2 linked regions of the Struthio camelus genome follow. The main gene of each other region encodes a partner of the protein of the gene in region 2 in a complex. Links are inferred from orthologs where the notes say so. Each region holds a gene or a part of one and is shown on either strand. Other genes may lie near its edges. The genes, in order: EXOSC10 and DIS3L.

Evidence for each region.
Region 1: DIS3L (region 2) and EXOSC10 share a complex: the UniProt entries of both Homo sapiens proteins name them as parts of the RNA exosome complex. The link is inferred for Struthio camelus from reciprocal best matches to the Homo sapiens genes DIS3L and EXOSC10.

The regions. Positions count from the first base shown.
Region 1 is NC_090962.1:6,480,213-6,496,732, forward strand, and holds the start of EXOSC10 (exosome complex component 10), read right to left. Parts: upstream 7,802-16,520; 5' UTR 7,779-7,801; coding exon 7,620-7,778; intron 7,241-7,619; coding exon 7,104-7,240; intron 6,641-7,103; coding exon 6,517-6,640; intron 6,022-6,516; coding exon 5,917-6,021; intron 5,500-5,916; coding exon 5,334-5,499; intron 4,529-5,333; coding exon 4,417-4,528; intron 4,129-4,416; coding exon 4,053-4,128; intron 3,897-4,052; coding exon 3,786-3,896; intron 3,353-3,785; coding exon 3,209-3,352; intron 2,892-3,208; coding exon 2,701-2,891; intron 1,981-2,700; coding exon 1,824-1,980; intron 1,209-1,823; coding exon 1,060-1,208; intron 745-1,059; coding exon 694-744; intron 1-693. Other genes in the region: serine/threonine-protein kinase mTOR, read right to left, coding at 9,238-9,253, 9,825-9,930, 10,586-10,666, 10,953-11,033, 11,742-11,807, 12,226-12,361, 12,911-12,985, 13,521-13,593 and 2 more. UniProt on the Homo sapiens protein: Catalytic component of the RNA exosome complex which has 3'->5' exoribonuclease activity and participates in a multitude of cellular RNA processing and degradation events.
Region 2 is NC_090953.1:3,227,649-3,243,597, forward strand, and holds the start of DIS3L (DIS3-like exonuclease 1), read right to left. Parts: upstream 5,989-15,949; 5' UTR 5,871-5,988; coding exon 5,741-5,870; intron 5,674-5,740; exon of another isoform or gene 5,617-5,673; intron 3,102-5,616; coding exon 2,948-3,101; intron 2,119-2,947; coding exon 1,990-2,118; intron 913-1,989; coding exon 777-912; intron 1-776. UniProt on the Homo sapiens protein: Catalytic component of the RNA exosome complex which has 3'->5' exoribonuclease activity and participates in a multitude of cellular RNA processing and degradation events.

The sequences.
Region 1 (16,520 bases), on a different chromosome or scaffold from region 2:
GGACGTGCAGCCAGTCATAACCACAGGCCTAACTGTGACAAAATAAGGACAGACAGATCAGTCCGACACTGTTTATTCTCCGTGATGAAAAATTCTTCTCTGTTGAGTTGGTACAGATAAGGAGAAACCATTAACTCAGCTGTCCTCTCACTCATCTTTTCTGCGGTCTGTCTGTCCCGTCTTCATTTCATTCCTTCTTCGCTACTCACCTGCAGAAGCAGAGCCCAGCAGCGGACTTACATTTAAGGATGCATTTTTACTATTCTTAGGTATAGCTGTTAGATGATGAGTGCAAAGTGTTTGAGAAAACGTACAAAGTTGTTTGCTGAAAGCAATCTGCTCCTACTCAACTCACTTTAAGAACTGAACAAACAAATCAATGTTTAGAGGGGAATCAGCCCACTCTGGCTTTGTAGTGCTGTAGGAATCTCAGGGGGCATGTGTGACAGAGCAGTGCAAAGGCATGCGTTTTATCAGGGGAATAAAATCACAGAGATATGTATCCCAGAAGAAGTTGAGAGGCTTCTGAAGGAACAGTGCAATTTATTTCTCTTGCAAACTGAAGAACTCTAGAGAAAAGCTCGACTGACAGCTGGAAGGAACGTACCAAATGCAGAAGTGAGGATATACTAGGAAACTCTTTGTTGGACATTAAAAAATCACATGCGACTACTCAAGGGTGAACAAACTTACTTGGGCAACTCCTCTGCTATCTTCAGCAGCATGTGATTTGGTAGCACATATCTACAACACAAAGAGGTTGTGAAAACGTAACAGATCGTCAAAAACTTTTAAAAATACCTTTAAAGCATACTAGTTTGCCCCGGTTAAAAAGTCTGAAGTGACGAAATCAGTTAAGAAGAAATTAAGCAGGGCTGATCTAGAAACCCGTAAGAATGTGCTGCTAACATACGGGACTTCTGTTCAAAAGCGCAAAAAGCAGCCTGAGGTAGAACAGTACATATTCCAGGTTACAGAGTGGTTCCTCCCCAGGGGAGGACAACAGTTCAAGAGGCTTATTTAAGTATTAAGCCACTGTCTGTAACAAACGCCACCTACCCTGTGCTCTCATCCTCTTGACGCGCCATCTTGTCCCTCCATGCAAACAGCAACCTAAATGCTGCTAGCTGCTGTGTGTTGAGGTGTTTTTTCTGCCTTCTGTACAGCTCAAGGTAGGACTCGTCTGAGAAGAGGGGCTTGATGTATTTCTGGACAGGAAAAAAGGCAGATTAGTATCCGTGTCGTGCTTTCTGGGTTGCCTTGCTTCATTGAAACAGGCAGCATCTCACACAGACATAAGGGCAGTGAACAAACTCTAGCGTACTACGTCTTGGAGCTTTCACCCTACACTGTTGGTAGGGCTCTCCCCTGAAAAACGTGCATCTCGTCCGTGTGGAGGGGAAAAAACCCCACAGCAACTTCAGGAGCAGTCTGAGACGCACAGTATCTTTCAGCTTTACTGCATTAGACGGCACCCGCATGATTTTCCACAGGGCACAATGTATTTGTCTCATGATGCAACTGCAGTGAAGCTTTGAATGTCCAGTAGAACTGGAAATGTAACATCTGTCCGCAGAAACGTACACCTGAAAGCGTCAACAGGCCAAGGAGCAACAGCATTCAAAAAACAGCAAGAGGGCATCTGAACCCAAGGATTTCAGCTAGTGAAAAAAGTGACTGCACTCAAATGAGTTTGTAAAACCGTTTTCAGACACACAAATAGAAAAAAGTGTGCTTATGCAACACACATGAAATGTCAAAAGACTTTCTGTCCCAGCGAGCCCATACTCTGATCCAGATAATCCAACCAGATGAAGCTTTACCTTCAGACAGATGTCCCTGCTGCGTTGCCACACAATCTGCAGTTGAGTGGGTTGTTCGTTCCCTCTCTCCCACAGTGCCTCCCTCACTTTATCGTAGACGTAGAGCAAGTAGTGAGTGTCATCGCGGGCATACTGAATCATTTCTTCTGGCAAAGGGCTAGAAGAACCACCACAATTACAGCAATACGTTTCAGCTGCCCTGCCATACCAGCATTTTCCTTCTGCAGGACACATTAGGGCAAACGGCATCTAAACCCCACTAAGAACTAATCCAAAAATGTTTGTTTCCTTCTAGAAGGATTTTGTTTGGCAACAGCAGCGACACCCTCTATTCGGATGACATCCCGTACGCATGTGAGACAGCAGGATTGCTGTGTCGCTAATAATCAGATGGTGGAAGCGCCTCCTATGCTATTGTCACAGCTCCTCCTCCTATAGAGAGCCCACATAAACTGCACCTGAGATTTCTGCCGTCTGCAGCGTCCATCCTCAGACCCAAGCTCATTGTTCTAATCAGCATACTACTCTATCTAGTGTAAGTGACCAAATGGTTTCGTGGCGACGCCGTCATAGCCAAATACTGACTTTCTCCATAATACTGCAGTGATTAAACACTGTTCCTACTGGTTAAGTGAGCTGCCAGGAGCTTTGCACTGATCTACACCCCCTGCTCTTCCCAAGAAAAGTCAGTTCCTAAAGAAACACGGGGAAGCATAACAGTAATAAACGCAGAGACAAGTAAATGCTGCGCTCATTCACTTCAAGACCAACCTGTAACTACGGGGCTTGCAACCAGAAAGATACTCTTGCTCTAACCGTACAAACAAGGCTAAATGCTACCAAAAGGCTCCAGACCATTTAAGGAGTCAGTTTTTACCGTATCCGCCAGTCAGCCAGCTGGTACTGCTTGTCAGCATCCACATTGCAATATAGCTTTAGCAAGTGGTCCAAAGAGTGCTTGCCAAGGTTGAGGAGACGAGCAGCTTGGTGAGTATCAAACATGTTCACCAAGTACAGACCAAAGTCTTTTTGCAGCCATTCCACATCTGAATCAGCACCATGAAGGACCTTGCAAAGCAACACAAATATATCAGAGAGCATCAGTGACGCAGAGAACATTTTTAACTCCAGGCCTGCAGCACTGTGGCTTCAATCTGTTTCTAGAAACGGATTTCTTTCCTCTCTAGTCCTCATTGTTATATACAGAACTACCAAATGATTGCACTTGGGAAGTAACTCCCCATACGCATTAATGAAAGAGGCACATGAACGAACTCTAACGAAAGCGGGCCAAGAGACCAAAACAGATCACACGAGTATGCTTTAGACAACAATAAAGCTTAAACTAAAAAAATGTGGGAATTATGGTCAATTTGGCAGCTGACCTTCACAATTCCAGGGTCTGTGAAGGTCTCATTGAGAAGGTGCATGTCACTGCGCAACTCCAGTGTATCAATAATGAAGTCTTCTGTTCGGGTGGAAATCTGCATGAGACATGTCAAGCCCAGGAAGCTCCTGTAGGAATGGTGCTGAAAAAGGCAGAAAAGAGATGTTATCCAGGATCCATTACAGAAGTAATTTTATAAAACAAAGAGCACCTAGATGAAGGAAAAAAAGTAAGAGAGGGCTTCTTGAAGCAAAAGACAACCAGGTGAGCAAGTTTTCTTGTGCAGTCACTAACGTGACAGAAAGCATCAGGAGAGGGATTTAAAAAAGAATAAATTCAGTGTGAATTGTGTAGTAGTTCATACAATAGGAAAACTTACAATATTACCCATAGTTTGATTCAGCCTTCTAGGTAACATCCGGTAGGTCAGTGTCATGATTTAAATCCATGTAAGAAAGTATGTTGGAAAAAGGAGGAGAACGAGAAAAGAGTACGAAACAGTAGAAGAATACAATAGTCTCCTAGATGCTAACAACACATACGTAACTTCTAAACAGAAAAGGTAAATGGATTACCTCTAAGTCCAGGGCAAATTCTTTACAGTTCATAAGCTTTTCATTCAGTTCTACCAGCTCATCCAGTGTGCTGACAAAATGGCAGGGCGTTTCTTTGATGGGCCTGTACATCTGGCAAAGCAAATTATTAGTATCGGTACTGCCTTCCCCAAAACTCATGCCCTAAGTCAATCCCCTCCCCTCACGCACACCCTAACTCTGAAACTTGTCAAGTAGGGCCTGCTGTAAACTTACTGCATCTGCTATTAAATTAGTGTGGGCACCAACCTGGAGATCTGGTTTCTTGAGAACTCCATCCGGTGGAGAAAAATGCTCCAGTTCATACTGGTAAGGGTGAGCAAACCTGCAGAAATTAGGAAAACAGGCACACACTAAGTTTCAGTCAACTACACACAGCCAGAGCCCACAGACTTTGAGAGCTATGGCAGTTTCCATACTGACTAGAAATTTTGCCTCCGGTTAAGCGTGGGTTTAAAACAACTACAGATGCCTAAAGTCACACATAACGCAGTGTACAGACACAAACACATGCAGAGCTGCTACACATGAACGCCATCAGCGCAAAGGGACCACACAAGTGCATGTTCACCAAGGGCACTCCAAGCACCTGGCTGTCAGCTTAATTTCTTACATGTCCTGTTCAGTTTGCTGTGTCCTCTGCTGGTGGATGAAGTCTGCCAAAGCAGCTGGTACATCCAAGTCTTCAGGGCGCTCCTTTCGGTCCCGTCCGCTTTTTGTGAGGGCTGAATGACCAATATGGAACAACTGGACTGGGTCCCACACATAACGAGTTCTCAGCCCATTATTCTCTCCCCTCCACCCACCACAGGAACCTATTACAATCATTTAAGTATCAAAAAATCTTAACAAGTCAGACCTGCGGCCCTTCTGCTGTCAGCCAGATTTCTGACTCACGTGACAACTTGATTCTAAGTATTATCAGTATGTTGTTAATCAAGATGCAAGGTGATTTTGCGCAAAAGCTTGGAAGGAGACTGCTCTGGTTTCAGAGAAATCTATCATTCCCCGGTATCTAAAATACCACTGCACCAGTGCAGACTAAAAATGAATCACCAGTGGCAGAAAGACAAGCTGCCAAGACGGGAATGTCTTGCTGGTAGCTTTGATAAAGCAGCCAAAGCCAAGCTAGGTCTAACCATTTGCCTGCCCCCGTACACACATGCTCATTAGAAAAATTACAGCCCATCTGTAAAGCCAGCCGGACTTATAGACTAGTCAGCACTACTGCTAGTGTCAGAGGGACTCTGGTGATGGATGTCCAATGGTGGCAGAGAAGAGTAGCAGAATACCTGTTCGGAACAGACTACTTCCTGCATATCAGCGAGAAGATACTGTATGCTGACCAACCCTTACACCACATGTACTTAAACTATTACTAGAGTCACACAGCTTACTACACCTAAACGGTCAGTCTTCTGCTGCTGCTGCTTGTTCTTACATCCCGTGATTTCTATTCCGGATTGTGAGGACAGATTTATGTCAAACGTTCTCAATAATTCACCCAGTAAAAAAAAATAAATCTCTTACCTTCTGGCAAAGGTTTCAGAGCGTTTGGCTTGATAAAAAGTTTAGGTACAAAGGGTGTGTTGGAATTGTCGATCTTTTCCCGAAACTTAAGCTGCGGTCGAGAGATGTTCTTAGCATGAAGCAATCGGAAGGTTTCAGATTTTGTTCTCTTGTGGGATTCTCCTCCCTGTTAAAAAGCAAAACAAAAATACACAAGTAAAATTCGTATCACTTACAGCTGTTCAGAGTCTCCTTTACTCAGACCGACTCAATACTCAGAGCAATAAAATTATACGTCAAACTTAAAAATGAGCCATTCTTTTGCAGTAAGAGTCCAGTACTCGAGAACGGCAGTGCTCAAGTTCAGGCTCCTGAACTCATACAAAAGAGTAAGCGGATGGCTGTTGTGTGCATGAAAGTGAAATGACAAGTCAAAGCACACAGAATCTAGAATTAAATTTGAATAAAGAGGAAAAAAAAGGAGTTCACACAGCTACAAAATCTGAGGGAACGCTTGACTACTGAACTCCACAGGAAACACCGTAGCGTCAGTGCTGGGAAAAACGTTCAAGATAACACAGCAAACTGAGCACAGAGGCCTCACCTTGCGGTTCCAGCTGGAAATGATTGTCTGTGGGAGCTGCAACCCAGCAGGGAGGACAGGCTGCTGGTTTTTGTTCACTCCTGCTGCTTCATCCAATAAAATACCCTAAATTCCAGAAAAGGAGTTGAAAACCAAGCATCTGTTAAGTCACTGTACTCAGCCGTTCTAGTCAGACTGAATAAAGAAAAACACACAGAGGCCTCCACCACCATTTCCCTCTCACTTCTGTACAACGTGAGACAGCCAAGCGTGAGGACGGTATGGGAATGACAGGGGTTAGGAAGAGTTTCCTCAGAGAAGCAGCTCTACAACTTTAGAGAGTTGTTCTTAGGTTATAAGATTCTCGATCCAAACTGCATTTACTTTCCTCACAGGTCACATGTTACCTTCCTCTCCTTTGGGCTCACGACTTAACTGCTCAGCTTTGAACACAAAACGATACACTAGTCTAGCACGTGGCAACATTTTTAAACATAAAGGAAAGACTGAAAAAGCATTAAACATAACGGTAGCGGTATTGTCACTGAAATTCTTGTAATGAACAAAACTCACGGCAGTTGAATAACTGATAACAGCAGCATGCAGGAATAATTTGCTTACCACTCTTTCAAGAATGACGTCGTTAGAGTCAACCAGCATATCAAATTTATCTTCCAGCTCTGTCACTTTTTTGCGATCTTTGATGTGGCTGCGGCAGCCATGGTATTGCATCACCTTGCTCATGCTCCCAAGAGAATAGCACAGCGATTAGTGATCTCAAGGCAGGCGCGATGAACACTAAACTCCCATCCAACTCTCTTAAAGTTTCTACGTTGCAGAATTTTGAAAATAAACCAAACGTAATACCTACAGATAACATTGTGTGAGCAATAAATATAATAAGCCCCCGTATAGTACTAACTGTAGTACGAATTCCTTAGAAATCTCATAACTTTCTCAACAGAGAAATAAATATACCCTTTATATACGCCTCTATTCCACGGGTCTTCACCCAAAACATTATGAAACGTCCTTTTTAAGCTCGCTGCTTAAACTGTGAAGTGCTAGAAAAGCAGCTAAAAGCTAGGTACGTGGAATAAAATACCTCTTTACCTACAGCTACTCTGCAGTTTCCAACACAGGGTGCTAGTCTCCGCTGTGGACTAGAAGCTATCAGCAACGGCACAGAGAAGCTGGTGCACCCTTACCAGTGGAGGAGCCTGTCGCCTTGCGTTTCACAGTACGCCCGGAATCCAGGGAAGCTTCGGTAGAAGTCGTACTCGTCGCCAGGCTGAGGAAGCCCATTAGACGCCTTAGTAGCAGCTACCACTGTGCCAAGCGCATACTGGGCAAGAGAGATGTGGTCATCGTTAGTATTCTTCTCCAGACTTCTTCTCCCTTTACCCAGGCTAGTGTTTAACGCAGGTGCGCTCTGCCTAGCCTGCCTCAACACCAACAGTTAATTCTAACGTATAACGTCACCAGGCTTTTTGAAACGCGTAAATTCAGAGTCGTTGAGTCTACGTACACTATGGAAAACTATAACTATGCAGGTTTCGCGGGGCCAGGGGGCCCGAGCCCGGCAGCCCCAAAGGAACTACAACTCCCAGCATGCCCCGGCCGCCGCCGCCGCCGCTCCCTCCCGCTGCCGCGCGCAGGGCACGCCGGGAGCGGTAGTGCGCGGCGCCCGCTCCGCTCCCTCCCCCCCCCCACCCGCAGCGCACCTTGACGAAGGCGTCGGCGTCGCCGAAGCCGGGCAGCCCCGCGGCCGCGCTGCCCCCCGCCGGCTCCGCGGGCCGCCCCGCCGCCTCATCGCGCCTCTCCTCCGCCGCGGGGCTCCTCGTCGCCGCGCTGCCGCTCCCCTCCTCGACGGCGGCCGCCATGTTGCTGCCGCAGCCACGCGACGCCCGGCCGCTCTCGCGAGAGCGCGGCGCCGAGAGGGCGGGGGGGGGGAGGCGGTGGCGGCGCATGCGCAGAGGCAGAGAGCGCACCGCCCTCTGGCGGAGGGGCGCGGCCAGCGCCGCCCGTGGGAACCGCCGCCCGTGGGAACCGCCGCCCGTGGGAACCGCCGGGCAGCGCGGCCCGGCCCCGGCTATCGCCCGTGGCCACGAGACCCTGAGCCCGAGCAAGCTCCTTTCTTACCGCGCGGGCATCTCACTCACTCCTGGTAACTCTGCCTCCGAAAGATAGCCAACAACCTGGACTGGTGCAGAAAAAGACAATCAACAGCTCTAGCAACGGGAAAGCTTTTCAGATACCTTAATCCTCGACTAAAGGCTTACGCCTGCTGCGAAGTTGAACGCAGCCCTGTCTCTTCCTAAGAAGTGCTTAGGAATAAACAAGACGACCATCGACATTTTTAACATTTTGGTGTAATTTATTGGCACAAAAATATTCAAATACAACATGGCATCTAAACATGGCTACTCTTTGTTGTATTTTGTGCATTTTGTTTTTAATATGTTTTATTCATAAATCATAACTTTATCCTCACCCTCATGTTTAATAACCATTATTTTCTGTTTCAAGTTATTACCAGTCCTCCCCACTTCTGCCTCTTAGGCTGCTTATTAACTTTTCCCTAGTTATTTCCCAATACTGCTTTTTAATCCAGACCCTGTGGGAAGCTCCCAAGTGGTATTTCAGTGATACCCTGCATCCGCTTTGCCACTGATCAGTCCATATAGAGGCAGGCACCTTACTGCGCTTGGCTCGAGGTCTTCAGCTCTTGGATTTGCTCCGATATCCCAATCTAGTCTGAAACATGACTCCTCTGCTAATGTAATAAGCCGATAAATAATTTTCAATTTGGGGGCAAGAATCAAATTGGAAAACAAGGTAACAGGATGGTGCAACTCTCCTTCTCCTCGCTTTCGCCCCAGTTTTCCAGCTCAACTCCAAACCTAAGCGAACCCTGCTGCACGAGTGCACTGAGTTCTCTGCAGCCACGCCAACAGGATTGATCAGGGCAATAATTAATCCGCAAATGACTCAATTTAGTTACATTGCAAAGTCAGTCAAAACCCGTATATAGTTATTTTCAATGGATCACCAGTTCCCCAAAGACCAAGTGGAACCATAGACATCTGTGGTACAATCAGTCTTCACTGTCCTGGAAACCCAAAACAAGTGTTGTGTTTTAGACAGCTTGTGTTTTTCAAACAGCAGCTATAAATTGGCTTAAACCAACTTTTAATATACAATAACTCTTTTCATTTACAGTTCAAAATATTTGACAAAGGCTGTATTTCAGTCCAACTTTCTGTTTGTGTTTGTAGAAGAGTAAGATTGGAGTGCAAAAGCCTCCAGAATAAAAGGCTGTGGATACTTTGGAATCTTCTGCTACCAGAAAGGACACCTAAAGAAAACAAAGATATTGTAGTAGTGTTGTCTCGCATATAGTTTAACAAAGACAATGCTGAGAAGGACTGAAATTCCATACCGCCAAAGCACCTTTTAAAATATTTACCAGAGGAAAGTTGACTGGTGACTCCCATGCTTCTTTCCAGTTAACGCAACTCATGTTTAAAACACTACAAAGACCTGTTTCCTTAAACATCATCCCTCAAGCTAAGCCTCAAAACGACACATACTTCTATGTTTACTTTAGAACACGAGGTTCTTCACTGTAACCAAAATCAGTGATGGAGACGCACCTAGAACACCTTATTGCAAACACTTAAAACATTTGGGCTGACGTTTGGACGCACATTTAAAGGTTCAAAAATCCCCCCCATCACCTATACCAACTTACTTGCTTACAGCAGAGGGCCCTGCTACAGGCCTGCAAAATCTACCAGAGCAGATGCAACATCGGGTAAGGCTCATATATGTAACTCAGTACACAAGAAGTGACATTTTCCTTAGCTGCTCCCTGCTCAGATCATTCATTCCAGAATTTTGCAAGGTTAACTCAATGACAAACTCACCATCCAATGTAGCACTGGCAGAGATTCTCATGAGAAGTAGCTTGCTTAATGAGCAATTCTACTTGTGTGGGTACATCAAGAGTTTCATCATGAGAGAAGTCTCGACCTTTAAGATTAAAGGAAATAAAAACAGAAAAGGAAGTTACAGGTCAAGCAACAGAACTTGCTTTTGGGTGGCAAGTTAAGGACTGATTGGACTTCTACTACCGTCCCCTTATAGTGTGTGTAAGATGCAAAATTTTCAAAGATCGAGAACTTCTAAAGCTGATTAGAGTCCAGAAATTCATACTTTTTCCCTTGTCGTGGCTTCTTCCTTTAACTTCTCCTTCAAACAGTGGATAAGAAAATATTTGCGTTCTCCAATAACAGATAATTTTCCAGTAACTGGAGTCCTGGTCCTAATAGCTTCAAGTACATTATATGAGCAGGTGGGGGAAAGTTTCTTATGAACCCTTAGGAGTGTAAGATTTCACATCTGAACACTGCAAACTACAAAGCCTGGCCAAAGGAGAAATTTGACCTCTGTCAACAAGCTAAGACATTTAAAACACGAGTCTGTTTAAATGCAGTCAGCTCCGTATTTTATAGATCAGGCTCATTTGTACCCAAATTCCAGCACAGGCACAGGAGGCTTTTAGATAAAGGTAGGAAACGCCCTCCTCCAGTTATTCAGAATATTTTTAATTAAAGGATTAATACACAATCCAAATGCTAAAAGTTAGTGGCGAACCGTCTCAAATTTTACATAAAAATATGCTCACCAGTGAGTTTATCTCGAACTCTGTTGATAATCTGAATTGCTTTCTTATTCAGAGCTTCTGGCTTCACTAGACCGTCGCCTACTAAAAGATCAAAATAAAAAAAGAATTAAGACTTCATTTGAACAACAACAACGTTTTTCCTGCTATTACATCTGCCCTTCTCAACTGCCATTCTATGAACCAACAGTCCCAAATACTAGTATGTTTTCTGTCACCTTTTTTTGGAGCGGAGGAACAGGTACTATATTTCTTATTTACGCTGACAAGGAACTGATTTCAGGTAGTTGTTTCTACATCAAGATGAAGTTTTCTATCTAAAAATAACTTCTGCATCAGTGTAAAACCAACACGATTCAAAGAAACTTACTGAAGGAATGGATGGATTCAGGCACTGTGGTCCCAGTTTTCTTGTGGGCTGTCTCACCCAGTTCCACGCTGTCCAACATTTCTATTGAAAAAACACAGAAACATAAAGGTGAAACGGAAAGGCAGGTAAAGTTACCATTCCTTTGTTAACATTAACAGAGCTGTTCATCTGCTCCTTTGAAAAGCATATTCAACCGTCACAAAGTATACCGCATATCTTTATCACTAATGGAACTGTACTATGGGAGTAAACTTTTTTTTGTGCTAACACACTGAAAGGCCCGATCCAACCTTCAGGAATGTTTTGTGTAAAAGCGTAATTGAAAGATATTTTGAAAAGACGCACAGTTAACCTACAATAGCAGTCAAGTAAGTATGTCTATTTACTGAACTCTCACTGTTCTTCAGTCCAATAGCAAACAGCTGTTAAGATTCAATGTAATGCTCTTAACATTCATTCAGATGACAACTCACCAGGTTTTGCATACTAATATTTAGTAGCTCAGTAAATAACTAGCACACACCAAATTATTCTGTGGATTACACCAGTTTGCGCGCGCTCTGGAAGGGTGTTAGTCTAACTGTAAAGCAGCATTTGCTTTTTGAGCTGAAGTACTGAACTCAACACTATTTATTTTACTCAGTTATACACACTCTTAAAACCAAGTAACAATAAGCTGCTTCTCTCTCTACTTTTGAGGAGAAAAAGAACTGAAAATACTTCTACCAGTTTTATGCACTGTTAAAAAAAACGCAAACATTCATGAAATGCATCATCTTTTATACTCACCTACTGACTGACTAGCTGAGTAGGAGTCTGTTCTCGTTCGTGAGCGCTTATTGCCTTTTGTATTTGCTGCAAGAAAATAAGAGAGTTGAAAAGTTTGAACTGGAGGCTCAGTATTTCACAGTAAATTTGTCTATCCACAAACAATACAGGCTTGATCATCTTTTTCTTTTTCCAAATTGTATTTTACCTGAAAATAGCTTTTCATCTCAAGACGACAGCTAATACTAAAGCAATCCACATGATGTGATTTGTCGCTTCAGTTCAATGTCTGTATTTAAGGGCAAAAGGGTTTTAACCACTGTGGTAACTTCACATTATGATTCCTAAAACTGGGTGTGTGCACAATCATTGCTTGCAAATCTACCGTTTAAATGGACTGACCTTCAACAGACATTCGATTTCAGGCCTTTGGATTTCTTACATGAATCTATTTTAATCTGACTGATGACTCTCCTGCTATCGTTGTTTCATCCGAATGACTTACTGTCCATCAGCCTCCAGTTCAATAAGGGATCGTATACAAAGGCTTCTAGCACAGCCATGACACTGTCCTTATGTTCGCGCAGGACTTCCATCACAGTGTGACAGGTGATTCTGTAATTGCCATCTAGGCCCGTCACCTTCAGAAGAGAAAGAAGTGAATCAATCACGCTGCTTCTTTCACTTTGCAACTCCAACCCTAACATTCAGGGAGCAGGAAAAGGCTTGTGCTTTGAACTGGAACCCGCTTCCACTGGACTCTATTCATTACGAGAACAAGATAGAGGTTCATACAATTTAAGAGGCTCCTTCCTTCTGATTTATTGATGTACTGATTTGAGTAACGTGCATGTGACATCGAATTGATCACTGTAAAGTACCACGCTATTCGTGGTGTTTGGTTGACACAAAGAGCTATTTGAAATGAGGAAACTATGGAAGACCCGAGAAAATTGGAAAAATTTTTGGTTTTTTGCATCAGTGAGAAGTTGCTTTCCACAGTAACGTACTGTAAAGATGGCAGCAGATATTTTAACTTACAGAAAATGAAGCTGAAATATTAAGACCTCTGCTTCTTGCAGGAGTCTCGGAGAGATCCAACCACAACAAGAAAGTACAGGAAAAAGGGAGAAATCAGTGCCATTTTCCCAGGGAACAATTCTCTTCGTATCAGAGAGGGGATACTTAACCTCCATAGCATTTGTCAGCATCCTTGTTAACCGAAACGGAATCTTCTCCGGGAACTTCTCTCTTGTCATTGCAACCTACACACACAACGGTGGACAATTATTAATAGCTAACTTATTATTTAAGAGTTAATAAGCACTGTGGTTTTCTTTGCTACGACCTTAAAGGTTGTAATTACAAATATGAAATATGTAATATGTCCTAGATTAACGTTCCTCAGTTTCCAGCAGTTTTTAGGAGAAGCTGGATAACTGACTTGATTACACAAGGAAAACTCAATTGTATGCTCATGCTGCTAGTGTCATGTAACACAGGCTGCTATCAGCAGCTTAGATTGCTCGAAGAAATTGTATTGGAAAAGTGATGTTAGCACTTCTTTGCTTGCCCCAGAGTAGTTAGATAATCCGCATGACACCCCTTCCCCCCCCCCACCCGAGATAAAGTACATATTAATTTCTTTTGCCTGTGGGCAAAGTGAAGCCCAAAAGAGAGCCAAAAGGCTTGCTCAGGATCACACTCCAAGGTCAGCTTGCCCTGGCTTGTAGATTAATTTCTGTTGCACCAGATGATGTGAAATATTGCAGAAATATACTTCCAAATACAAAAATTTACCTCAAAACAGTCCCCAAAGTCGATATGTAGGATCTTTCCACTCAATCTGTCCAACATCAGATTGGAAGGGTGTCTTTGATGAAGGAGTAGGAGAAAAGCCAGAGTGACAGATCATTAGAAAAACGTAAATTGAATCACAGCTCTAGTCTGAACTGATATTTATCTTCACGAACGAGAACAACCAGTGGCAGCATGCCTGTCTGAGATCTTCAATCTCCAGATGAACAGAACAGCTTCCTGACAGTGCATCTATCACATTATCTTTGTAATTACCTCTCAGGATTACCAGAGATGATCTCGCCTTGGAAGACAGACAATTAATTGGACCAGAGCCATCAGTACATGCCTTGGATTTGAACATTTCTTTTTCAGTTAGGATAAATGTTTCTACTTCTTTTACTTTTAAAACATTTTTTCAGTAGAGAAAAAGAGTGAATTATGCTACAGATAAAGTAATGCAAATTGGATTATTACCAGAACAGAAGAGAACCAATCTAGACTAGGAGAAACCAAGATGCTGTTATTCATGCTGCCTTGGTCCAATTCTGATTTAATCCAACTTTCAAAGGTTTATACTTGCGATATAAAAACCTTTAAAGTCAGGAATAAAAAGCTGCTATTACAAAAACATTTGAGAGGTCTTCAAAAGTATTTTGGAAATTATGATGTCCCCTTTTTACAGTAAACCACATAGTAAGATCAAATAGCTTACTCATTTTATCTTTTTTTTTTTTCATTATTCACCCAATCTCATTTATGATGCCTACTTCCCTCCAGAACATGTCTGCATAGCAGATTAGAAAAGGCTTCGTGTTAAGCAGTATTCAAAACCCATGTTAACTTCCATTTGTTTTCAGTTATACATCTAGAGAGGTCTTTAGGCGCTACGCTTGGGGATTTCATGCATCTGTGACAATTGCTGTCAACAAACATAGCACTAGTTGTTCCTGCCTCACAGAATAAATATCCATCAGGCAAAAATGTGTGGAAAACAGTATTATTCAGCCCATTAGGAGGAAGAACCAAGAGACACCTGACCCTCAATACTTGCTGGATTTCTTTTTGCTACTTCAGAGGATAAGAAGTGCTGCTTGATAACAGTGATTTTTTCCTCCTCCAAGAAGCGGGAGATACGTGTACAGTCCTGACAGACACTGCGAAAAACTGCAATCTCATAAGCATGAAGCACACAGAAACCTACAGACTGGCTGCAAGAGTCAGAAGCACACAGAAGCCTACAGACTGGCTGCAAGAGTCAACACTACTTCCGTTTCACAGAAAGGATGGAGAACAATTTCCCATTCTGTGAGTGGGAGAAAGGCCTGAATTCAAACTTGTGGCTCTTGACCTAATTTTGTGTATATTCCTCCCAAAACGGAAGAAACTTATTTGTACTCAAGATACGCAAATCCTACACCTCATTCCCGCACTGCCGAATATCATGGTGGCACGGTTAGGTCCTGGAAGATGCTATCATTACAACTCAGCTACATCCACGATAGAAGCTGTTAGCATAAGAACAGAGCCAGGGATTAAATTGATAGGTATACACAGTCTCTGCTAGCGTTTAAAAGAAATTCCCGCAATTCCACTTACCTATCCCCAAGGCCCAAAATGTACCCAACCATTGACATCACAGCTAGTGAGCGAGTGTAATTAGTTCTTCTGTCAAACCACACCTACAAGCAGAGACAAAATAGAAAAAAGTAAAGAGGGTGGCAAGGAGTTGGCTTGCTTAACCTATTTCTGTTTCTTAAGAACAATTCCCAAAACTTCAGAAGGGTACCTGCAACAAAGCTAGATAGACGTTTCATGCTTCAGTTTATATTTTAATTTATACAATAACCAGTTGGGTTTTGCATGAAGCCAAACTATTATATACTTAGGTCAATAATGCCATAGCCTGAGGGGGTTCAAACAACCCTAAAATTAGATGCGTTAAGCCATTAAAGGGGAGCGATTTCAGATGCACTCTTCCTTCCACTGTATTATGTTGACTGATATCAATAGCCCAGCACACCCATAGTCGCAAACATATTTCAGGCTCCTGTTTATGTCTCCCCATGCACAATAATCTTGTGCTGTGGACCGGACTCTGGCAGCCAGTGTGACTGCGCTCTAAAATGCCCCTTGGTGGATACACGTGCTTCAGGGATTAATTTGGAGTTTAAGATGTGCAATTCACCCACCTCTCCCACATTCTGCAGAGAGGGCAGTTGCATGTTATGCTGATTGCCAAACATAAGCCTTTACATGTGCTGAACTCACCTCTGAGCTTGGACTTTTCAACCACAGTAGTTTGGCAAGGTCATCACCAGCTGTGTTATTGACAGCATGTTCAAATACTTCTACCTTCTGCATCAAAGTCAGGTGGTCATAATCTGGAGCCATCTATAATTGAGAAGTGAAACTCAGCAGCTAAAAATCCTCCTATGATCCCTGGTTATAATGTGAGAAGCATGGTAGTCACAAATAATTTAAAGATCAAGTCGGTATGAAATTATTATTTGCAGACAGACTAGTATGTTCCCAACACATGCATCAAGATGACTAGTCAGCAGTGAAGAATTCATTTGAAACGTGATAGCAAATGATTCAACATGCACAGAATATTTCATAGCCATATGTAATTAAAATACTGCTGAGCTAAATATGTTTTGAAGATAGTTTCCAAATACATCCTTCTGGGTTGGCACACCCTTTGCTTATTGGCAGGCAATTCCAACTTTTCTAGTGATGTTCAGTTTCTCCAGTCTGTCCAATTTTTGGCCTTGCCGCTTAGACACAATGTTTGTAAATGCCAGCAGCACGGCACCTTGTGTGAGGTGCACCACATTCACGCCAAACTCCAAACACATTTTAGTTACCAGATGGTAGCAACCTGGGGCCACTGCTAAAACAGGAAAGGAGAGACAAATAAACTTATGGCCAATTTTACCCTTTTGTAGTATTTTAGAATTTTCATCTGATATTCTTGTATTTACAACTGGTACCAATAAC
Region 2 (15,949 bases):
GAGAACATTACTGTTAAGAAACTATCTTAGACTAGAGATTCACAGACTTTTACCACTAATTACCCCATCCAAGCCACCCATTATTCTTTTTAGTTTTTACACGATTCTGTACAGCTTCAAATTCAAAAAAAAAAAAAACCACCAGCATCATGTTTGCATATATAACTTTAAGGTGAATCTTTTGGGGTTTGGTTTTTCTTACACGTGTTCATGATTTGAAAACATCCTTTCACAGCTAAAAGTAAATCTCCTATCTACATACCCTGCCGAATACCAGCAGTATCAGAGAGCAACAACCAAATGAAGAATAATAATCTTCTTGCACATCAGAGTATCCTAAATAGTCAAGGCTAAAGTACACTGGGCAGAATAATACAATGGATATTTACTGCTGTAGTGCAGGTCCGTTACTGCTGTGAATGGACCTGCACTACAGATTTAGACAGCTGGCTGAGGTAACTGATTATTGTTCATCAGCACTAAATTCTTCAAAAACATGGAAAATGATGAAAAGGGATCCTAAGAAAGATGACCTCCATCCTTGGAGCTGCTGTTTTCCTTCTCAGTTCTGTTTTACTCACTGCCACTGATTTTGATGACATTCCCAGCATTGACGTCTTTGCTTTCTTTGATAAATGAAGTCATGAGTTACCACTGCAGTATTTTTTACATGTAAACTTCAGAATGACTTGCACTATACATTAGGTTTAATGTACTTGCTTTGCCATTTTGATGCAGCATAAAGGAAACCTTCTTCTATTCTTCTGATACGTTACCTTGAAGGAAATCACAAACACTCCTTCCGTTTCATTTCCGTACTGCCTGATAGCATCTTCATCTTCTGTTACCATAACAACTGGCATCTGACCCAAGCAGTGATTATAATACCAGACTGTTGCATTGTAAATACTCCTAGAAAAGCAAAGTTTGAACAAGATTTCTGGCATATCCCGTTTGCTACTCGGCAGGCATTTCCAGGCTTTGTATAAAAGTGATTTTTTTTTATTACGCATACATTTAAGATATATACAGCAAATCTTTTATTTTCAAGACATTTTATGTGCCTTACATCAGCACTGAGAGAATAGCGCAAAAATAGTGTTTCCTCCCCAATACACAGAACCACAGAATGACTGAGGTTGGAAGGGACCTCTGGAGATCATCTAGTCCAACCCCCCTGCTCAAGCAGGGTCCTCTAGAGCACATTACCCATGAATGTGTCCAGACGGGTTTTGAATATCTCCAGGGAAGGAGATTCCACAGCCTCTCTGGGCAACCTGGTCCAGTGCTCAGTCACCCGCACAGTCAAGAAGTTTTTCCTCAGGTTCAGATGGAACTTCCTGTGTTTCAGTTTCTGCCTGTTGCCTCTCATCCTTTCGCTGGGCACCACTGAGAAGAGTCTGGCCCCATCCCCTTGACACTTTCCCTTCAGAAACTTATACACATTGATTAGATTCCCTTTCAGTCTTCTCTTCTCCAGGCTGAACAGTCCCAGCTCTCGCAGCCTTTCCTCATAGGAGAGATGCTCCAGTCCCTTAATCATCTTAGTAGCCCTTCACCTGTGTCCCAGCTGCAACATAATACAGTGTTCCTCGAGTGAAAGTTTGTGAAAAGCAAGCTGGAACTGCCAGGAGTCCAGTGCTGTGTTGTTTGTAGGCTAACGGACATTACAGCTAACACTTCAATTAAAGTGTGTTTTAGCTATTTATTATGTTAAAGCATTCTTTAAAACGCCTGTCTATCTTTAAATTGGTCCAATGTATTTTTATCCTTGTGTTTAATTAATTACATTCTTGTGTATTTTTCTAAGAAAACGATGTTGATGCATTCTTAATCATAAAAGGACAATCTAGACTTTCAATTATCATGAACTATTCTAGAGCTAATTAGAGCAAGAGTACCAACTCTTACCTATCCAATGCCTACTAACATTTCTAGACACAACGTCACAATACTCTCTCGTGCAAAACTACATTAGTTAAAACAAACCTGGTCTGCCATTTCTCCATGGATTCTCCCTTCTCTCTTGGCAGATAGGAATGTTGATGGAATTCATTAGCAAACACAATACAATCATGACGGGCATCCTTTACTAGATTTCGTAGTTTGTTGTACTGTCTGGAAAATGAAAAAAAGAATACAGCCTTGTGATTTCTTTTGATAATGCTGTGTTAACTCCAGTTAAAAATACAGCTGAAAAACCCACGGAAAACTAAAGAATTCTAACAGGGTAAGACTAAATCCTGTCATTCATAAACAAATGTATTTATTCTTAAATTCCACCATTGATGATAAAACCTAAAAAGTAATCTGTAAGTAGGCTTTTTTAACTTCCGTAATGAATTCTTCAGATTTTACACCATATTTGTAATACAATACACATGAATCCTTTTCCAGTGAGACCATTCATAGTACAAAAAGCCATAAATGTTCAGGAACTCATTCTGTCACTTCTGGGACAAAAGCTATTTCTTAAAAGGTGTTGGTGCCTTAAAAATATAAGACCTTGATCCTAAAAAACTGCACTTTTATATGGTATGGCAATACACAGGTTAACTTCTGGTAAGATATATAAGCATATTATTAATTGCTCCTCGAAGAAATGTGTTCATTCTTTAATACAGCAGGAACAAAAACAGAAGCATAATCTGGTTTTGGCATATGAAATTCACATTGTTGCTGCAAAGTCTCCTTAATTCCTTCCACAAGTTATCTGATTAAGTAATAATAGTATAGGTTTAATATTGTTCCTATCACGTGAAAATAGAACAGGTATTGATGCTTATGTATTCCAAGGGATCATAGCTCTTTCCTTTTCATAAAATTATGTCAAAACACTTGAAAGACTTAAAAACAAATTAAGCATACTGTGCTTAAATACACATTTTACAAACTTAACATCTTTACTTCAATCTAAAATAACAATAAGTTATTATAGGGTAAGTACCTGCGGCCTTTTTGATGTTGCACAGCTTGACACGCTGTTTGCATGAAAATAATACCTTTCAGCTCTGGAAACTCAAGAATCTCAAGGTAATCTTGAACCACCTTCCAGTCAGGGACAACATAATGAGTCACATCATCTGACAACAATTTGCCATCTAAAATGTAATTCAAAGTGTAAAGGTTTAAACTTTCAATTGCAATATTGTTTTTTTAAAAATACTGTCAAATGCGAGGCAATCCTAGTTGTGGATCTTCAAAAGGTATATATATCTATTCTTCTGAGGAACAGAATTTTCACGGTTCAATTAAATGGTACGTCTGCTACGGTACAATTCCTACAATTTGTGACTGAGCCCTTCTATTATCCACTGAGCAAAAAATTTTGAGTAAATACTATCTAAATGAGTGAAAAAAAATCTGGTTTCATTACAAAAAGGATGTCACTTGAAAAGTTCAGGTAACAGTCCAGTTTCCTCTACTTCCACATAAAAAGAGAGACCACATCTGCCACAGCAAATCTTTTTGTGCAATTATCTTCACCATTCAACACTCTCCACTTACAGCAGGCTCTTTTCTGTATCTGTACATAAAAGGTTATACGTGAGGGTACACATGGAGAAAAGCAATGCTATTATAAAGAGAAGAGGTTCTCAAATCTAATTATTACCATCATAGTTAATTCTCTCTAAAGAGACTCCATCCCTTAATCATATCCCATCAAAATCTCAAAACAAACCCATCACATAAGAACTTTTAAAACATACCCCAAAATTAATTAATTGCTTTTGATATTTCAGAGATTACTCAGTAAACTTTTTTTTTCCTTGGGATCTCCACTGCATTTTCTCTCCATGTCTATTTATTCCTTGTGTTATTACAAACACTGAACTGCTGGACTTAAAATAGTGCTGGCAGATTACATTCAAATTTTATAGACCCTGACAAATCAGGTTATTTTCATATATTTCTTAGAAGCTGACACAAGTCAGTCTGTCTATTGACTCTGATCCCTAGAAGTGAGAATCCAGTGGGCACAATTCTGCACAGCATCATGCGGCTGTATCTCACACTGAAGGTATATAAGGGACGATGGCAGGACGCATATAACAAAGTTAATTTTTATTACTAATTCAGAAGAGGATTAGGAGCGAAATGTCACTTGAAGATGTATGTAATCTGCTCACATTAAGCTATCCTTGCCTAACATACACATCTAGATCAGAATAACTTTAAGTAGGCATAGCATGCCATTAAAAATATCTGTGGATGTGATTTATGCAAGCAGGCTCCCACAGTGCGTGAAATATGTTTGCTCGGCACAGTATATAGACTCAGGAGTGAAAACATATGTTCACCATACTTCTGAGTTACCTAGAATAATTACAAAGGGACATACTCTGACACTGATTACGGCACAATTTACATTTAAGTCCAGAAGTTAGGCATGGAGAGAGAGGCAAGAATTTGGTCTGGTATTTGCCTGTAACTTATCCTTAGGGAATTCATAAGGAAAGGAATTAATACATGACACATCTCAACAGCTCCCAGACCCATTACAGAGCAGTAACAATAACCTTGTCCTGACATCTTAGATAGAAGTAATATACTACTCTACCTGCTGCCCTCCATCACAACAGGCATCTAAAAACAAAACAGAGGTGACAACATCTATGCCAACTACAGTTCAGAAGAAAAACAGTTAAAATTCTTAGCCTTTTCTTTTAGGCCAGCAGATAATTTGGTTGATTTAAACGTGTTATACGTTGTGTTGGTTGTCATTTATTTTCTTGCACCAAATAAATTGTGTTATTTAACAACAAAAAAACCCAGAAACATCAACGAACAATCACACGGTGATCTATAACGTACATAAGAGCGCTGCACTATGTAAAAACAACATGAAACCTAGAAATCACAGAAGCGGGCAGTCTTCCCATGTCTGAAATGCCCAGGTATAGCAGGGACAATTAAACTTAATTATTGAACCAACATAACTGCTGACGCAGAATTACACAAGTTTCAATGACACCTACTTGGCCCCGTTGTAAGAATACTCAACAAATACGTAGAGAATTTAGTTCAAGCTACACAGGAACTCAACGCCCTGCAGGAATTAATCCATTTTTGAAAGAGCTTTAAAAAAGGAAGCACAAAAACATGAGTGTTCCCCCCGTTAAACTTGCATGGTCCTTTAGAGTTTTACCAGCGTCTGTAAAATAACTGTTTACAGCCAAATCCTGCAACAATCAACTTCCCTTGTCAGCTCTCCTTTTTTCTTAGCACCTCATTTTCGTGCGAATTTTGCTCTGAGGGTGTATTTTCGCTATACCCCTGACTTGGCGCTGCCTGATTTCCCCCGCCGCTATGTGGCGGTGCTCAGCACCGTGGACAGGCCGCCCTGGGGCGGCGGCGGGGCGAGATGTGCCATGAGCGCTCCCGTTCTCTGCCGGCCGGCGCCACCCGCCTCCCGAACCCCGCGCCTCACCCCCTCTCCTCTCCTCCCTCGCCCCTGCCTCACTACAACACGTCCTCCACTCTCTCGTCCTGCTCTTCTCACGCCCGTTACTCGCTGCCCCTTGCTCCGCTTCTCCGCGCCCTCTCCCGCCGGGTCCTGTCAGGCCGCGCCGCCGGCCCGCCCGGCCCGGGGATCGCTTCAGCGCACGCACCAACCTCCGCGCCCGGCCCCGGCCGCTTTCCACGCCGAGGCAAACGGCTCCCGGCCGCCCTGCCACCTCCTCCCGCCGCCTCCGCCCCGCGCAGCCCCGGCGGCCGCTCCCCCCCGCAGCCCCCTCACCGCGCGGGCAGGCGGCGCGGCACAGCGCGCTGCGGCACGGCACGTCGGGGCGCACGTAGTGCTCCCGCACGACGCGCACCGAGCGGCCCTGCTGGCCCCGCAGCTGCAGCACTTTCTCCGTGCGTTGCATCGCGGCGGCGGGAAGCGGCGGCCGCCGCCGCTAGGCCAGGCCCGGCGCTCCGCGGCCGCTGCGCATGGCGCGGGGGGCGGTGCGACCGTGAGAGGCAGGGCCTCCCCCTGAGCGAGGGGCGGGGAGCAGGAGGGCGGGCAGGAGAGCGAGCGGGGCGGCGGAGCTGGCGGGGGCGAGGTGGGAGCGGGCTGAGGGAACGGGGCGGTGCTGACGGGAGAGGCGGGAACGAGCCGAGGGCAGCGGGGCGGCTCTGAGGGGAGAGGCGGGAGCGAGCCGAGGGCAGCGGGGCGGCTCTGAGGGGAGAGGCGGGAGCGAGCCGAGGGCAGCGGGGCGGCTCTGAGGGGAGAGGCGGGAGCGAGCCGAGGGCAGCGGGGCGGCTCTGAGGGGAGAGGCGGGAGCGAGCCGAGGGCAGCGGGGCGGCTCTGAGGGGAGAGGCGGGAGCGAGCCGAGGCAGCGGGGTCGTGGTGAGGGCAGAGGCGACGCTGAGGGGAGAGGCGGGAGCGAGCCGAGGGCATCGGGGCGGCTCTGAGGGGAGAGGCGGGAGCGAGCCGAGGGCAGCGGGGTGGTGCTGAGGGGAGAGGCGGGAGCGAGCCGAGGCAGCGGGGTCGTGGTGAGGGCAGAGGCGACGCTGAGGGGAGAGGCGGGAGCGAGCCGAGGGCATCGGGGCGGCTCTGAGGGGAGAGGCGGGAGCGAGCCGAGGGCAGCGGGGCGGCTCTGAGGGGAGAGGCGGGAGCGAGCCGAGGGCAGCGGGGCAGCTGTGAGGGGCCAGCGGCAAGCTGGGGGCTGAGGGGAGGTGACGAGCCTCGAGGCGGAGCTAGGAGCAGCGCTGAGGGGGAGCCTGGCGAGGACCAGGGTTCGTTGGAGCCCCAGGTTGTGCGCCTGGGTGAGCAGGGAGGATAGCTCTCCTCTCGGTGAGGTAAAACTGAGAGGGTTTGGGCCTGTGGAGGAAAGACTGAAAAAGTGGCTGGGATGTCCCTTGGAAGGCAAATGGGAAGAATTTGCCCTCTGTTAGGGTGGATTGTGTGGCCTGAGGGTGGTGGTGGTGAAGATACATGGTGAATTTTTCTGTTTCTGTGTCTAGGAAAAATAAGAAGAGGCTGTCTTGCTGTATCTAAACTGTAGTCCTGCATAAATGCTCATGTGAACCGTCATGGTCTTTCATAGCCTATTCCAGGCACAGCCCCAGATCCGTTTCTCAGATCATCTGGTTTCGCTTGGTCACCTCCCAGCACCAGGGGTGCTAAGATGGGGAATGTGGCTAGGGTGAGTGAGGAGTGCACAAAAGCCCCAAGTCAAATAATTTTACTGTAGAGACCATTATTGCCCTTTATATTTTACAAATGGGAACACTGAGGCCCTGAAAGATGAAGTGCTTGCCCATGATCAAACGGAAAAGCAGTGGCAGGGTGATGAATACAACTCATTGTTTCTGAGTCTGAGTCAGCGCTCTGCATATGAGGCTGCAATGATGTTGGTGTAACCTATTGGCGATGATTATTCTAAATATAAAAAAGCAGTAATACTTTCTCAGAATTGCATCTATCATAACCTCACTTGAAATACATACATGGTGTAAGCTATCTAGTATTTGTCCTTATGAGAAGAAAGAACCAAGGGACAGTGGGAAAGAACCAAGGCAGTGTTTCACTCTATGTTCCTGTTTGTTCTATTGCTTATTTTTCACATATTTTATAAAACGCGTATCTTCAGTGACTAATATTTTTAAGTAATCAGTTGGTGGCAGGAAATGGAAGTGCCATCTATCTGTAGAAAATTGATTTTCAGAAGCCAAGTCCGCAAACATATGAGGAGGAGGAGGTAGTACAACTTGGTGAGAGACGACCAAAATGTAGACTTGTTTTTCTTAGTCAGGATGATTTTAGACATATTATGTAAGCAGGAGAGGAGGGGGGGTGGAGACCAAAATGACAGAGCTCTTCTACAGTATGAACAAAGATGAAATAAACGGTAGTGACAGAAAAGGAATGAAAAATATAACATTTGAGAGAAAAGTCACTGAATTCAGTTTGAAACACTGTAGCTGCTGATTGCTGTAACACAGTGAAGAACGCAGGCCTGCATGCCTACTCAGTGTCCTTCAGTGACTGTAATAAAATGAAGGCTAATTAAATGAAAGTGACTGAGAGCAGTGCTCTAATTTGTTCACTGTTTCACAGAGAGAAATGCCAGACCTTTGGGCTAAGTTCATTTAATGCTGATACTACTGAGTAGCTGCATGCTTATTTCTAAAATGGACAGTTTTTAAAATTCTCACCATTTCCCCCCACCACCACCCAAGAGCATTCTCTTACAAGTAAAAGTCAGTTTAGAGTTGAGTCAGTAAAGCCAAAAGGAGCTACTTACACTTCATCTAACAATTGAGTTTGGCCTAATGAGATTTGAGATAGATCATCTGGGAATTGGTTTTATACGTGGCAAGAAGTTTCTGCAGGGTGAAGCTGCAGGGTAGAGGGAGAGCCAAAACTTCCAGGATAACAAGATCATCCTTAATTGTTTTTTTTTTTTTTAAAGCTGCTAAAATGTTTAAAAATGCAATATTGTAAGATCTCATTGCATGTTGAAAAATGAAAGTGGAGTGCAGCACAGCTGCAAAGCAGTGAGACATAAATTTCCTCCTGAAGTTTTTCCTTCTCTAAGTGTCCAAGAAACAAAATGTGGTAGAACAGTTGAAAATAAAATAGTACAAATATTTCTTTATTTTCATAGAGTATTCTCCTTACTTCAGAGTTACTGCCTTGGATAACGCTAGTAAGCACTAGAAAAGCTTGTGTTTTAAATGAGTCAGAGAACTCTCTCTAGAAAGTTCAGTTACATGTTTGTTGTTGCCTATGCTGGGAAGCATGAGCCTCTCGGGAAGTCTCCCTACTTATAAAAAGGTCAGGAGGTGCAATGCAGAATTTCAATATAGTACCTTTTGATAGAAGTTGCTCAGTATTTTGGCAAAGAAAACTTTCAGGTCATTGGGGAGTATCAGCTTCTAGCTCAGATTTCTCATGACTTGAAGCCTGACTCATCTGACAAATAGCTGGAAACAATTAACCTAAGCAACTGATGTAGAAGTAAAATATCACGTAGGTTGTTGTCAGACATATATATGTGGAAGTGGAACATGCGCAAGATAAAACGAAAAGCAGGTATTCAGCAATAGGTGTAATACATTGTTGACCATTTAATGTAATACTAGCTCACCTGCTTACCAGTATGTGTCGGTTGGCACCACACAGATATACTTTATGATATACCTTACTTCTGTCCTGGCAAAGCAACTGCTGAGTTTTATTCTTGCAAGGGAACTTCTTCCTGAGTTTTGTACAGCCTGTTATTAGAGGCCACTAGCTGCTCCCTTCCCCAGTGTTGGGAGGTGGACTGCATAGCTAAATTGGGCTTCATCAGCTAAAATTGTGCTTAAGACTGTCAGTAAGCACAGAAAAGTATATAGGAAGTTATATTCTGGTTTGCTACTGTGCCTATAAACAAGTCGGCAGCAGACCACCACAAGACGGGATTACATAAACTATAAGGCCCTATTACAGGCTTTCTGAGAAAAAAGATTTAAGAAAGTAACACAAAACAGGAGACAGAGTATTTAAGTCTGGTATCCACACAGCCAAGTTATCAATAGAAATCTTGTATTTTCATTTGAAAGAGGCCATATTTTTCCCAAGAATGCTATCGCTAGGGTAGAGGATGGAAGATTCGATTGTCTTACAGGATATCTTTAAAGTTGATTCTTCCATTCTTAAAGAAATTTTGAAGCATTCTTAAAGCAGTTTTTGAAGTTCAGCATCTGCTTCTTAACTCATACAAAACTGAATAAATGCTATTTTTTCTCTTGGAGGTTCCTTCTCCTGTATTGCTGGTTCAGTAAAACCCAAATACTGTAAAAATAGTGCCCATATCTAGAATGGTCTCAGGATTAATATGCAGCTCCTTGCACTAATCTATCATAAAAAGTATAATGTACAGTTCTCACGCAATTATGCTCTGGATGCCAATATTTATTGTCTTTTAAAGATTTAATCTCCTTCATACTATGCAACGAAGGAGTACTGATAAAAGAAACTCGCTATTTTCGGAACAAAAGGCAACGTAAAATCGAGATCGGTATCCAGGCTCCATTTCTTATTGTTGCATTTTTGAAGTAAAATTCTTTGCCTTCATTTGTAAGAGAATCTCTCAAACATTAAATCTCCTTACATTTGTTAGTAGGAGTGACAAAATATGCCAAAGATCAGAGAATTTTATTATGTTAGGTCAGAATGGGTATGCTTGTCAATGAAGCTCAGCTTAACTGATGTAGAACGTGGCCTTATATTATCCTGCTTATCAGCAATGTGCTCATTTGGAAATCTCTTTCTACTAAAGAAGCTGTACCAAGGTTAATTATGTTGATTGCTGGAAAAGATGCACTTTATTCCTACTCTGAATTTGCTAACGTTTGTCTTTGCCTCTCAGTAAGTCTGTAAGATTGGAAAGCTCTCTCATCAAATTTCTTTTCCTCGGATGCTTTTACAGTGTCAGCTGATGACCTCTTTTGCTGTTTCTTTGATGACTTAAATTGGACTCCCTTCATTTTTCATATTTTGCAACTCTTTAATGTTTCCATGGCTTATTTCTGAAAAGAATCCCATTTCTGAAAATCCTCATTGTATTGTGTATGTTAGCACTGGAAACTGCACTATGGCCTGAAACAGATATTATGTATTATCTTCCTACTTCTTGTTCTCCTGTATATGCATCTCAGAATTAAATTAATTCTTTTGTGTTGTGCTGATGGCTCACATTCAGTTATTTGTCAATCATATGCTCAAATATTTTTAAGAGTCAGGGGGTCCCATAGACCCTAGACAGGGTCCCATACTATGTAAGCATGGCTTACATTTTTTTTTGCTCAATATATAAACGTTACCTTTGCTTCTTTCAAAAATGTATTATTTGCCTGAACCGACTTTATGAAGTGATCTAGGTCAGTGGTCTGTCCTCTGCCTTGTGTACCAAGCCAGTCATAAAATACGCGAAAGAAATCACAGTTACCCTAGTAGCAAATCTGAATATAACGTTTGATTGTAAGACCTATCAGTTAAACTTTTCTCAGCCAATTTAATATATGCCATGGTGATTTGCAGCTTTCAGAAAAGCAGTCTATGTGTCGACAAGTAGCTAGATTTCAAAAAGCTTGACATTCCTAGCAGAATTCTATTATAGTGACAATACTGCTCTCACCTAAAAACCCATAGTCTCATCAAAAAAGATATCAGGTTAGTTTAACAAGATCTATTTTCTGTAATCCTATGTCAACTGATATTAGTTATATCACCCTTCTTTAGTTATTTTTGTCAAATCCCATATTAATTAGACTTTTTGTTATTTTACCTGAGATTGCTGTTTGACTGTCAAGGCCTATAATTACCTGGATTATCCCATTCATGCTTTAAAATTATTTTGCATAGCATTATAAAGAACATGTTAATATTATTTTTCTTTCGGTAAAAAGAAAAGGATTTTGCTCTTGTGCATTGTTATGCTTCAAATTTTCTTGCTGTATTTTGGTTAGTCATGAACCACCTTTCTAGTTTTCAGTTTGCAACACCAGTTATCACCACTGGGAGTCACTATTTAATTGGTTTTGGGTTGAAATGCCAACTTCAGCTTCCATTATAATGTCTAACAGACTAAAATGCAACCTTTCAGCTTCTGTGAACAAACTGCTTTAACTACATAATATAAGATAACTAGAGCAATTTTTTCTCAAAAATAAACTGGAAACTAATGTTGTTCTGCAATACAATAAAAAACCCACCTAGAGATCTCTTCAAGCATGGCAGGAGTATGAAACTACATGATGTTTACAATTATTAGAAGCATAAAGGCAATTTATTTATCACAATTCCTCATTTTTACTATACTATGTATTTAGTAATGGTCTCCCACCACCCCTTTTTCTTCTTGGATGTAGTTCAAAAGTTTGTTACATCACTGAATCACAAAGTTTTATACTATTTTTTCACTCATTTTGTATCTTTACATAGTTCATTCCAGAGTTTTTAATGTATCTATCTCAAATATTATTTAAAGAAAAATAGCCTTTATACTAACATCAATAGGATGTTAAGCTTTAGCCTAGTAAGGAATTTTAGTTTATGTGTAGATGACAATAATTTGGTGGATTTCAGATTTTATTTTTTCATAATGTGTATATTTGTTATGTTAGAAATTATGAAAGTAATTTAGACAGCCCAGTGGTAAAGTCCACCTGACCAGTCTTTTTGTCACCAAAATCTGTTTGATTTGATTGGAACACTTACACTGAAGTGATGCTTTGTGGTGCCTTAGCCTCTGTAGTGACTCCTATATGGGTCAAGCGATAATCGCAGTTAGAGATGGAAAGACCTAACAGATCACCTTTTCCACCCACTACCAAAATGGGGTTGTTCCCTATAGTATTTCTAGCTCAGGTTTGGAGTCAGTGCTGTGGAATATAATGCTCTAAGGGTTATTTATTTGTATACCGCAGTAAATAGAAAGCAGGATTGCAAAGGTGACTTTTTTTGCCCCTGCTTTCAAAATCTCCAGGAGAAATTTCTGGGTGCAAATGATTAATTTCCTCTTAGGCTCCTATCATGAGAAATTAAATGAGGTAGCAGTTGACCTGTGTGGAACGCTGCTGTTATGATTTGCTGTACAAATGAGGTACAAAAGATTTTCCTTGAGAGCTCAGAGATGTATACTGAAACTAAAAGAAAATATATCATACTATATTTTTGACTGGCAGCTGTGCATCTTAGGTGCTTCATATTTTATTCACTAAAAGGGTATGAATAAGGTTTTATTTATAGCCATAACAATATTCTATCCACTAGCAAAACATATTATCTCATAGAGCTGGGTAAATGGTTTAATTTATATATCTACATATACACATACATGTATACACATGCACACGCATATATATGTTTAAATATATATATTTAAGAAAAAGAGCAATATTCTTTTTTCATAATTATTTTGAGGAACTAATTCTTGGCTTGCAAATAATTCAGGAGCATCTCGTTGTGTATAGTAATATTTTAACCTATGCTGTCCCGTTCTCTATGTAATGATATTTTTTGTATTTCCTAACTGCAAGAGCATGAAACTGACCAAGAGTGAATATTTTGAATTTAGTGTAAGATTCATGCACTGACATATGTACTGCTCACTGTTGATTGTGCAATTTGAGGTTTTCATTTGGCAAATGTTCAAGCTTAAAATGTGTTTTTCATGATTATTCCCCTTGTTAAAGCTCATTTACTATTCATGGAAAGTGAGCACAAAAAGGATGTGAACAGTCAAAAGAAACCCATTTAAAAATTCAAATGAATATCCAAGGGAAACGGACTGCAGTATTTGCCCAACTCTACTGAGTATACTGTGCTGTTGAATGTCTTATTAATAGGTGTCTTTGTCGTTGTCCTTAAGGCTTTCATCACAAATGTGAGATAGTTCTGTTATGACTTCATATTACGGTCATTATGCAAAATTTGTTCTTGATATTGCTAATACGGTTCTGTTTGAGTGATGCTAGGTGAGAGTTTATTCACCATGTGACTGCTTCTTTTAAAATCATTTTAAAAGTGCTATTTAGTGTGATGCTAACTAACCACTGATTTTAAATGTGGTGGAAAGGAATAAAAATGAAGCAGCTCAGATCATCATTCTCTGCTAAAAGCACAGCGAGAACTTCCACTAGTCTTGCTTATCCTAGCTTCAGGGACTCCTATTACCCCTCTGAAACTGCCTTTGTAGGAAAAATTCTCATCTGGTGATGGGAGAAGTTTGGATCATCAACAAAAAGCTGTAAATGCTGCTTCTTTTCTACATAAATTATGCTTCTGTGGACTAAGTTGTACCTTTTTCTTTGCTTGCTTGAATGGGAGCAGGATATGTGTTTAAGGGCCTTTTTTCTTCCACTGTTTCATTCACAAGGTCTAAGTGAAGTAAAAGGAAGATGATTAGTAACTGTCCTCTACATACCACACATTTAATATAATTGTCAAAGTACTTCCTATTAATACTTCACAAAAATGCATGAAATCCTCTCTCTGATTTTGTTGAATCAGTGGTGGCAATGTGATAGGGGTAACAACCATGGCTAAGCTGTCAGATTCTGCAGCTTAACGCACACCCGTTCTGCCTCTGTTGTCTTCACTATGTCTCTGGCTCTCCCTGAGCTGAATCATAGAGCAGTTGAGGATGGGAGGGACCTCAGGAGGTCTCTAGTCGAACCCCTCTGCTCAAAGCAAGGGGCAGCTAGGGCAGGTTGCTCAGGACTGTATCCAGCTGAGTTTTGAATATCTCCAAGCACAGCGACTCTGCAGCCTCTTTGGGCAACCTGTTCTAGTGTCTGACTGCCCTCACAGTAAAAAAGCTTTTTCATAGGTGTAAGTGGAATTTTCTGTATTTCAGTTTGTGCCTATTACCTTTTGCCCTTTCCCTGGGTATCCCTGAGAAGAGTCTGGCTCTGACCTCTTTACTGCCTCCCATCAAGTATTTATACACATTGATAGAATCCTCCTTGAGCCTTCTCTTCTCAAAGCTAAATACTTCTGGCTATTATCATACTTTGTATTATTAAACTTTAACCTAGAACATTGTAGGAGAAAGGACTTTACATGAAGTTGAGAGAAGAATAAGAGGTTTTTTTTTTCTTGGATGGCAGTTAGGAATTATATTTTTATTACAGACCTACATAAATATAGAAAGAAAATTAGTTTGAAGCCCGTTGGAAAACTCTGTGTTATAATTAAGTAGTGCAGCATTTATGTGTTATTCACTATTATGCCATGTTGGAGAGTTAAAGTTATGTGAGCAACTGCATGGTTTCTAGAGGTAGATAACTGAATAAGAATTTGCTGCATCATTCAACTTGATTTTTTTCAGATGCATTTACTCATGCAAGCTGAGGTCAAATGCAAATGCTTTTCAACAAGATCTTGCTTCTTAGCGAAATTTATAACTGAACTATGGCAAAAAAGGCCAAATGATTTGCCTGGGGGTCACATGCTGACTGAGTGGCTCAGGCAGGATTTGAGCCAAATATCCTTTCTCTTGGTTCATCACCCTTGGCTGTAAATAGTAGACTTCATTCTGCTTTATGAAAATCTTAGGCAGGCAGCATAAAGTATTATAAGTTTCTGAAAGAGAGTGAACTGCCATTACGATGAGAAAGTAGTCTAATGGGCTAAGAAAAAACTAAGGAAAAACAAGGTACAAAAAGTATTGGCAAAGAGGAAGAAATAAAACCTATGTATGACTTTGTCTCTAGCACAACTCTTTCTGCTTGGGGTTTTCAGAGTCTAGCATCTGTTCTATGGTGTTATAAATCAGTAACCTAGGCCTAGAAGGTTGCTTGGAGCTGGGTGGACAGTTCAGAGGGAAACAAATGCTGCTACTAGTCTCTGCCTATAACTATGAAGTAGAGGAGTCATTGTGAGCAGAAATCCAAAACAAAAAGACAGAAAAGAATCTTGGACAGGTAATTTAATTATCTGTTAAACAGGCTTGACCAGGGTTTCCCTGGGAAGACCAGTAATGGGCTACACAGTCAGGCAGCCTACTACCTCTGTCTGTCCTCATAACCTCCAAAGGGAAAATACACTGGGGATATTATAAGATATTTTACTTAACTTTAGTTACCTTTCCTAGGTGTCAAAATTAAGGAGGCAGGCTGCCCTGCTTCGTTCCAGTGAATAAGGAGAAAGAGAATCCTTATTTTTGTGTGCATAGGTTAGATCTAGGCTTAGATTTACGTGACTCTTTCACGTACGGCATTGCCCACTCTATAATGAACTTCTTTCTCTTCCAGAGTGCAGTCCCAGACCTGTAGAACTGACAGATTGACAGCGTAGAGATATTGCCGTATACATTGCATGTCCTCTGTTTACAGGTCATGGGGAGGAATGTGGCCACTACATGGTCAGTAAATAGGTCAATAATAAGATAGCATTCCAACCTACTATATTCAGAAAACTTTGTATTTAGATCTAGAAATGGAGCTACTTTATGTGGCAGCTGATATG